Mus musculus: one gene and its partner. The protein of the gene in region 1 interacts with the protein of each later gene in a biochemical or structural test. Links are inferred from orthologs where the notes say so. Each region holds a gene or a part of one and is shown on either strand. Other genes may lie near its edges. The genes, in order: Map4k1 and Crkl.

Evidence for each region.
Region 2: the proteins of Map4k1 (region 1) and Crkl form a complex in vitro, tested with the Homo sapiens proteins (2 studies listed by BioGRID). The link is inferred for Mus musculus from reciprocal best matches to the Homo sapiens genes MAP4K1 and CRKL.

The regions. Positions count from the first base shown.
Region 1 is NC_000073.6:28,996,340-29,000,151, reverse strand, and holds part of Map4k1 (mitogen-activated protein kinase kinase kinase kinase 1), read right to left. Parts: intron 1,701-3,812; coding exon 1,624-1,700; intron 1,540-1,623; coding exon 1,479-1,539; intron 380-1,478; coding exon 271-379; intron 189-270; coding exon 130-188; intron 1-129. UniProt on the Homo sapiens protein: Serine/threonine-protein kinase, which plays a role in the response to environmental stress. Appears to act upstream of the JUN N-terminal pathway.
Region 2 is NC_000082.6:17,450,739-17,455,034, forward strand, and holds the start of Crkl (crk-like protein), read left to right. Parts: upstream 1-1,246; 5' UTR 1,247-1,739; coding exon 1,740-2,050; intron 2,051-4,296. UniProt on the Homo sapiens protein: May mediate the transduction of intracellular signals.

The DNA of each region.
Region 1 (3,812 bases):
GTCTCCCTCTAGGATCCCCCAGTATCTCTCCAAGGGTCCTGGACACCATGCCTCAACCTTATTGAGTAGACACTGGCCAGGCACCAGCCCGCCCCATCACTCTGCACCCGGAGGGAAGCTGGCTCTCACCCACACAGCAAGCCCGGCAGCCTTTGGTGTCCTGGATCTTACTGGAGACCATGTTCTTTCTGGAGGAGGAGGAAGAGGAGTGAGGGGCTGCGCGGGCGCACTGGGGGCAGGGAAGCCAATGGCGCCCTGTGGGGCTCCTACCTTGCCAGTAACCGGTGAGGGCTAATGTGAGCAATGGGGCTTCCCGTTCTGCCGTCTTTCCTTTCAAGCAGGCCCAGGATGCTATGAGAATACAGGTAGGGTGTCTTCCCTGCAGTGTGTGTATGAGAGCGGGAGTGTCAAGCAGTTAGAGGACCCTTGCCATCTCTTTGTCTCCCAGCCCGCTGAAACTTCCCAACATGCAAACCCCACTTTCCAGTCACACAGTTCCCAGTCTTGAGACTTGAAAGGACCAGTGTGGTCCAGGCATCACCGTGATCTGCTTAGGAAAACAGAGCAGAATAGGTCGCCTGCCCTCATAACGCTGCTGCACCGGCAACAGGAGTGAGGTTTACCCAGCCCATGAGGTTGCACCTGAAGTTTATTTTTTTGGTGCTTGTGTCTCAGGTCCAGGCTGACCTCTAACTCCCCATGGAGCTGAGGCTGGTCTTGAACTCCCATCCTCCTGACTCTACACCTGGCACATATTTCAAAGTTTAACAGAAAAACCTACCTAAGCCAGGATTGGTGGCACCTGCTCATAGTCTCAGAACTTGGGAGGCTGAAGCAAGTGAGTCACTCTAAGTTTGAGGCTAGCCAGGGATAGACAGTCTCAAAAAAAAAAAAAAAAGGAGGGGAGATGATGATGAGCAGTTCTCTGTGAGGTTGAGGCCAGCCTGGTCTACATGAGTTCCAGGACAGCCAGGGCTACACAGAGAAACCCTGGCTTGGGTGAAAAAAAAGATAGGGGTTGGGGTGTTCTGGAGATACAGCTCAGTGGTAGCACATGTGCCCCACAAACACGGGCCCTAGTACTTACCAAACAACAGCAAACCCTGTAATTTCTTCAGTCTATCTTAAGTGAGACTAAGTCCTGACCCACCTACCTGTACCTGTCTCTTCTGCTCTGGGATTAAAGGGGTGTGCCAACAACACCCAGAGATGTCAAAGTTATTTAAAGATGAATTGATTGTAAAAAATTAACTCACAACCAACTTAAAGGAGTGAAGATATCAGAGCTCCATTTTACAGATAGGAAAACTAAGGCTCAGAGAGAAAAGCTCCTGGCCTTAAGTTCAACCAGTGGTGAGCTATGAACCTCAGGCCCGGTGGAGGTGAGGGCTCAGTTTGTGCTCATCCACACACACACATACCCACCCTCCCTTCACTCCTGGCCCCAGCCCCTGCCCCTGCCCTAGCCACAGGCTAACCTGAGAGAGACATGAGGAGGTTGTTGATGCAATAGAGCCAGGTTGTGCGGCCAGGGAAGATCTGTAGAGGATGGGGTGACTCCTGTGATCCCCATTTGACCCTGTGCAACCCCACCCCACTCCCAGCACTGATCCCATCCCTCACCATTTCCAGCGTGGCCTCCTGATCATTCCGGTTCAGTATGAAAATGCCTTCCTCTGCCCCCAGGAGCAGGTTCTGATCTGAGTGGGCCAGACAAGGAGTTTGCTGGGCTCTCTCATCATGGGAGATGGACCTCCCAGACCTTTGTCCAAAACTGGCCCTCTACCCCAAACTCACCCTTTCATACCAATTCCCCTTGCAGGCTGACACCCCCAGTTTCTAACCCCCCCCCCCGCTCAGTCCCTTAAGCCAGTCTCCATGACCCCTCCTCCCCACCCCCACCCCCTTCTGTAACTTGCCAATGCCTGGCAGTTCTCTGTCCAGGGCCCTCCAACTCTACTTCCTGCAGCACCTCTCTAAGCCCTGCCCCTTCCTCCCTAGTGCTGATCTCCATCACTGATTTTTGACTCTGGATTCTCAACGTATGCTTTTCTATCCAGTGGGGCTGATCAGCTCTGGTGTCTCTCAGTATGCGTGTTTGTCTACATGTCAACCTGTACACCATGAACATGCAGTGCCCTCAGAGGCCAGAAGAGGGTTGGGATCCCCTGGAACTGGAGTTAGAGAAGACTGTGAGCCCCCATGTGGGTGCTGGGAACTGAACATAGGTCCTCTGAACAAAACAGCTGGTGCTCTTAACCACTGAGTCTTCTCCCCTGACTGTCTCTTGTTTTATGAGACCTGCTCACAAGTATCCCACTGGCCCTTGAACTTGCTATGAAACCAAAGTTGAATCTGAATTTCTGATCCTCCTGCCTCTACCTCCTAAGAGCAGGGGTTAGCAGTATGGACCACTATGCTCTTTGTTTGCTTAAGAAGGCTCTTGTCAGCCAGGTGGTGGTGGCAGCGCACGCCTTTAAGCCCAGCACTCAGGAGGCAGAGGCAGGTAGATCTCTGTGAGTTTGAGGCCAGCCTGCTCTACAGAGTTCCAAGACAGCCAGGGCTTCAGGGAGAAACCTTTTCTTGAAAAACCAAAAAGAGAAAAGAAAAAAGAGGAGGAAGAAGAAGAAGGGAAGGAGGAAGAGGAGAAGGCTCTTGCTATACAGCTCTGGCTGGCTTCAAACAAGTGATGATCCTTTGCCTCAGCCTCAGGAATGCTGGCATTAAAGGAACATACCTCTATTCCAAGACTCTTATTATTTAATACTGACCCCTCAATTTTTTTTTTTTTTTTTTTGTTTTTTTGAGACAGGGTTTCTCTGTGTAGCCCTGGCTGTCCTGGAACTCACTCTGTAGACCAGGCTGGCCTTGAACTCAGAAATCCACCTGCCTCTGCCTCCCAAGTGCTGGGATTAAAGGTGTGCGCCACCACACCCGGCCCTGACCCCTCAATCTTAACCTCCATCTCTAATCTCCTGAGTCTGTCCTTTTCTGCTGCAGTGAAACCCAGCCCCCCCCCCAAAAAAAAAAAAAAAACTGATGCCAGTCTCTACCATCTGAATGCAGGTGACCTTCATTTTCCCTTAGGGCTCCATCACGATCCCTAACTGTAGATGATCTTACTCAGACACCGCTGGCCTCTAAACTCGGACTCTCCTAGTATCTGCTTTTCAGTTCATTCTTTCCCTTCCCCTCTTGGATCCCCAAATCCCAACAGTAACCACAACTTCTGCTCCAGGTTTGGCTAGGCCAACAACGTCACTCCGGTAAGACGCTCTCTCCAGAGCTGAGCACCTGCTGGTTCCCAGCACCCATGCCTGGAGGCTCACAACTGCCTGTAACTGCAGCTCCAGGGACCTACATGCTCTTTTCTACTCTGTAAGTGCCTGGGTTTGTGTGCACAAACATAAACACAGCACACATTTGTTGACAGCTTCCAGGGAGAAAAAGTCAGTTTCTTTAAGAGCTAGCCATGTTCTAGTAGATGGCCCCACAGTCATAAGTTTGAACGGTACAAACTCAGGCTGGGTGGGCCTGAATCTGGGATGAGTGGAAGGTCAGGATATAATCAAAATATATCGTATGACATTCTCAAATAATTAATAACAATGTTGTATGTTAGAAGACATTATCTAAAAATTTAAAATGTAAATCTTAAATAGCAAAAAAGAGCTTCCTGGGGCTGGAGAGCTGGCTCAGTGGCTAAGAGCACTTGTTGCTCTTGCAGAGGACTTGGGTTCAGTTCTCAGCATCCATATGAGAATCAACAACCAGTTAACTCCAGCTCCAGCAGATACAGTGCCCTCTTCTGG
Region 2 (4,296 bases), on another chromosome or scaffold:
GAGCTCAGCTGCCTTGAACTCATGATCCTCCTGCCTCCATCTCCTAGTGATGGGATTATTGGTATGTGTCACCACCACTGGCTTGGGACATGCCTTCCTGTTTATCTAATTTGGGAATGCTATGACCAATAATCCAGCATCTGTTTTTGTGGTGATTTTTCACAATAGTCATTCATTTAACAAATTTCTGATCATTCAAGACTAGATGTGGATTTAAGGCAGGCAAAATATAGGTAAATAAGACAGTATTCTGTGGTATTAAAATTTCATCCTAGCCTGTTGGTGGTCAGAGTTAGTTCCAGGACAGCCAGGGCCACACAGAGAATTCCTATCTTGATAGATAGATAGATAGATAGATAGATAGATAGATAGATAGGCCGGGCAGTGGTGGCGCATGCCTTTAATCCCAGCACTTGGGAGGCAGAGGCAGGCGGATTTCTGAGTTCGAGGCTAGCCTGGTCTACAAAGTGAGTTCCAGGACAGCCAGGACTACACAGAGAAACCCCGTCTCTAAAAAACCAAACAAATAATTAAATAAATAGGTACTAGTCGGGTTGGAGGGAGAAATATGTCAAGGGAGGCAGAGCTGAAACTGAGCAACGTGGAATGGCAGGAAATGAACTGTTGCAGAGCAACAGGCTTCAGGCCAGACACAGGTGTTGCATTTCACTTGTTACACTTTACAGCCGGTAGTGTCCAGTCATCCTCACCAACACACTGTCCTCCTCGTAAAGTATTAGTCAAACTGATCTTCACCATCATTCCACGTGTACCAAGGAGGATCACCTAGGGCAGGCGTTATTTGATAGGTTATTCAGTAACCTATTTGATGGTCACCTCACTCCCTAGGTCATGCCCTTCCTGAGCCACCTGATTTACCAGGGCCTTCTGGCTCGCAATCATCTGACGGCCACGCCTTCTTGGCCGGACACTCAGCAACCACTCTACGCTTTGTTCACAGAAACAGGTTTTCAAAACGCTGTTCCCTCTCGGCTCCAGCTGTTTTCCTGCCAAGCCCGGGAAGCCTGACAGCAGCAGCTTCTCGGCGGCTGCTTTGCGGTCCAGGAAGGGCCTGACCCTCTGCCTCCTCCCGGAACGCGGGAGCCCGCGCGAGTGGCTCACGCTGGGACCCTCGCGAACGCACTCCTGATTGGCAGCGCCCAGTGACGTCAAAGGAAGGGCCTCCGCGGTGGAGGGGGTAGAGCCCAGCTCCGCGCGTGCGCAGATTGAATGCGCTGGACCAAGGGGGAGGTGCCCGGCTGCTTCTCCCGCGTCCGCCATTTTGTTGCTGTGGCTATTGGGAGCGGGCTGGGTAAGACTGCTCGGGAGGCGCGACTCTTGTTGGAGTGCGGTGCTTCGTGTGACCGCGGGGATCGGTGCAGGCTCTTGAGGCTGTGGAGCCGGCGGCGGGTTCCAGGACAGAAGTCACTGGAGCCTCCCCTGTACTCCGGCCAGCTGAGAAGCCCGAGGCGGCCTCCGCTACTGCTCAGCTTCGCCCACCTCGACCCCGGGGCTTTGCCCAGTGTTCCCGGACCGGCTCTCCGTGAGGCGGCCCGGTGCAGGAGGGCGGTGGCGGAGGATGCTGCGGGGCCCGGAGCCTAGAGGAACGTCCTGACCAAGCCCTCTGATTGTTCCTCGAAGTGTTCTGAGAGGCCCTTCCTCGACCCCAAAGCCGACAGCGGGTAAAGGCTTCCCAAGCAAGAGAGCCGCAGACGCCGCCCATCCCCGAGCCCAACACCATGTCCTCCGCCAGGTTTGATTCTTCAGACCGCTCTGCCTGGTACATGGGGCCAGTGACTCGCCAGGAGGCGCAGACTCGTCTCCAAGGCCAGCGCCATGGCATGTTCCTAGTCCGGGACTCATCTACCTGCCCCGGGGACTATGTACTGTCCGTGTCCGAGAACTCGCGTGTCTCGCACTACATCATCAACTCCCTGCCCAACCGCCGCTTTAAGATCGGGGACCAGGAGTTTGACCATTTGCCGGCCTTGTTAGAGTTCTACAAGATCCACTACCTGGACACTACCACCTTAATCGAACCGGCGCCCAGGTACGCGAGCTCCTGCCCTTCTCCGGTTCAGAACTTGACCGGATGCGAAGGGTCGGTCAAAGATTAAATTTTGGGGGTAGGGTAGGGGATAGAACTCCTTTTCCTCATTCTAAATCAGAAGACATTCGGATTATAAGGCCAATATCAGGATCTGGGTCATTGGATGAAAGGATGCATTTTATTTAGACATTTAGCAGTGCTGCTTGCATTGTTTAAATGCACCCCTAACCCCCCACATATATACACAGTTTTGCCACTTTACTTGACTGTAATACTAATGCAGAATGCTTATTAACGACGCTAAAAATATAGACTTCCTTGAGATTCTGAAGATAGCCATGACTCCTCCTTTCTCGAAATTCTTGTACACCATTTAAGGTTTTTGTAACTCCTGCATTTTTCAACTAACTTTAGGTTACAAAGTGGCCTTCGGCCTTTGGAATAATCCTTAAAATGGATCGAAAGTGTAGAAATCTCAGAATCTGATTCTCTAGCACTCATTTTTAAAACTGGGATTACCAAGAGAAGACAGTGGGATTATATTTGAAGAAATTTGTATCCTCACCGTTCCTTCCTCAGGGGTGGGAAGTGTATTTACCTAAATTCTACATTAATTCAATTTTAGTTTTTTTTTTTTTTGTAATTAAGTCTAGTGGTTTAACATATGCTTTAAAGACCCCTAAGTAGAGCTAGCTGAGATAGATACACACCCCTAGTCCCCTAAGGAAAGAGGACCTTGATTCCAAGTCAGACTGAGCTGTAGCAAGACCCTGTCTTAAAGAGAAAGATATTGATCCCCAAGTGTTCTCTTTTTCAAGTAAAATGCATTATTTTATAATTTGCTTTAATTTCCCTAACGAATATCATCAAATGATACAGTGTGAATTGAAAAGGTGTCTAGAGACTTTAAAAGATATTTTCCTGCCCAGTTTATTTCTAAGCTATTTTCTAAAAAAAGAATTAAAGGCTGATTTAGATTTTTCAGGGTGAGGCGACTTCATAAAGGTGAAATTTGCTCTGAACTTTGAAAATGAAAAGATACTATAATTAATTAAGGGCACCTACTTAAATCCAAAGAGTTTCTTCTTTAGGATAGAATAATGAAGGTGGGGTGGTTAACCGTTGCCAGACCGAGTGGATTTTAGGAAGTGTGGAGAAGGCTAAGCCTGATGATGAGTGAGGGGAAGTGTTTGCAGTGAAAGCTGGGTGACCTACCTGCCTTTGGTTCCCACCAGGGGAATGTGAACAGAGAGCCCACCCCCACAGAGTTGTCCTTTAGCCTCCGTGTGCTGAGTGAGTACTCACACACAAAGAATTGTTAAAAATGTAAAACACAGAAAAGTGACTGTAAAAAGTGATGTGTTATCCAGATGAGAATATAAAATTCTGTGAAACACGAAGTTCCTAGTAGATGCTGGCAGGTGCTGTCAACTTGAATCATCTTCAATGTAAGAGCTTGAAGAGACTTAGGATGGATAGTGTTTAGTCGTATATTTAAGTAAACTCACTTCTCGAATTGTGAACATTATGTTATTGACTTCAGGCCTTTATTAAAACATGCAACAATGTGACAGGTGTTGGAGAAAGTTTAAGTTAATTATTAGAGTCACCTCAAAGAGGGAAATATATACTGCAGTGGCTTCCTGCTAGTTACAAGATCTGATTCTACTTCATGTGTCTTCTCAAGTACCAAATGTAATTTTCTGAGTTTTTCATTAGCTCTGCTTGACACACATTCCTATCTTTTCTGTTTTGTTTAATTTCCAGATGAAAGTAATAACCAAATCATAATTATCCCTAACTTGATATCACTGTCCCGTGTACAGCTGCAAATTGTACATTATAAATTTTGGAATAGATGGCAGTGTACCTTGGGGGATATTCTTTAGTATCTCAGCTTAAATATAACAACTACTAATATTCTCTTAATTGATGTTATGCTTTATGATAAAGAAATTGAGGGGAAAACTGAATATCTGTACAAACACATAATTAACAAAATATGGTAGAAACACTCCTGTTGATTATAATCCTAACTGGTCATGTGGCCTTACTGGATACTCATAAATACCCCTCTCTACTACATGTTGTATTTCTCCACCCTCAGCGGGCACCTGAGGGCTTGCCTTTTCTGGAGCAATGACCTATGTCTTCATTCTTGATGGTTCTGTGCCTTTTGTCATCCTGCTTGGATTAGGCTGTTATAGTTACCCACTGACTAAAAAACCTAGGACACAGCACTAAGA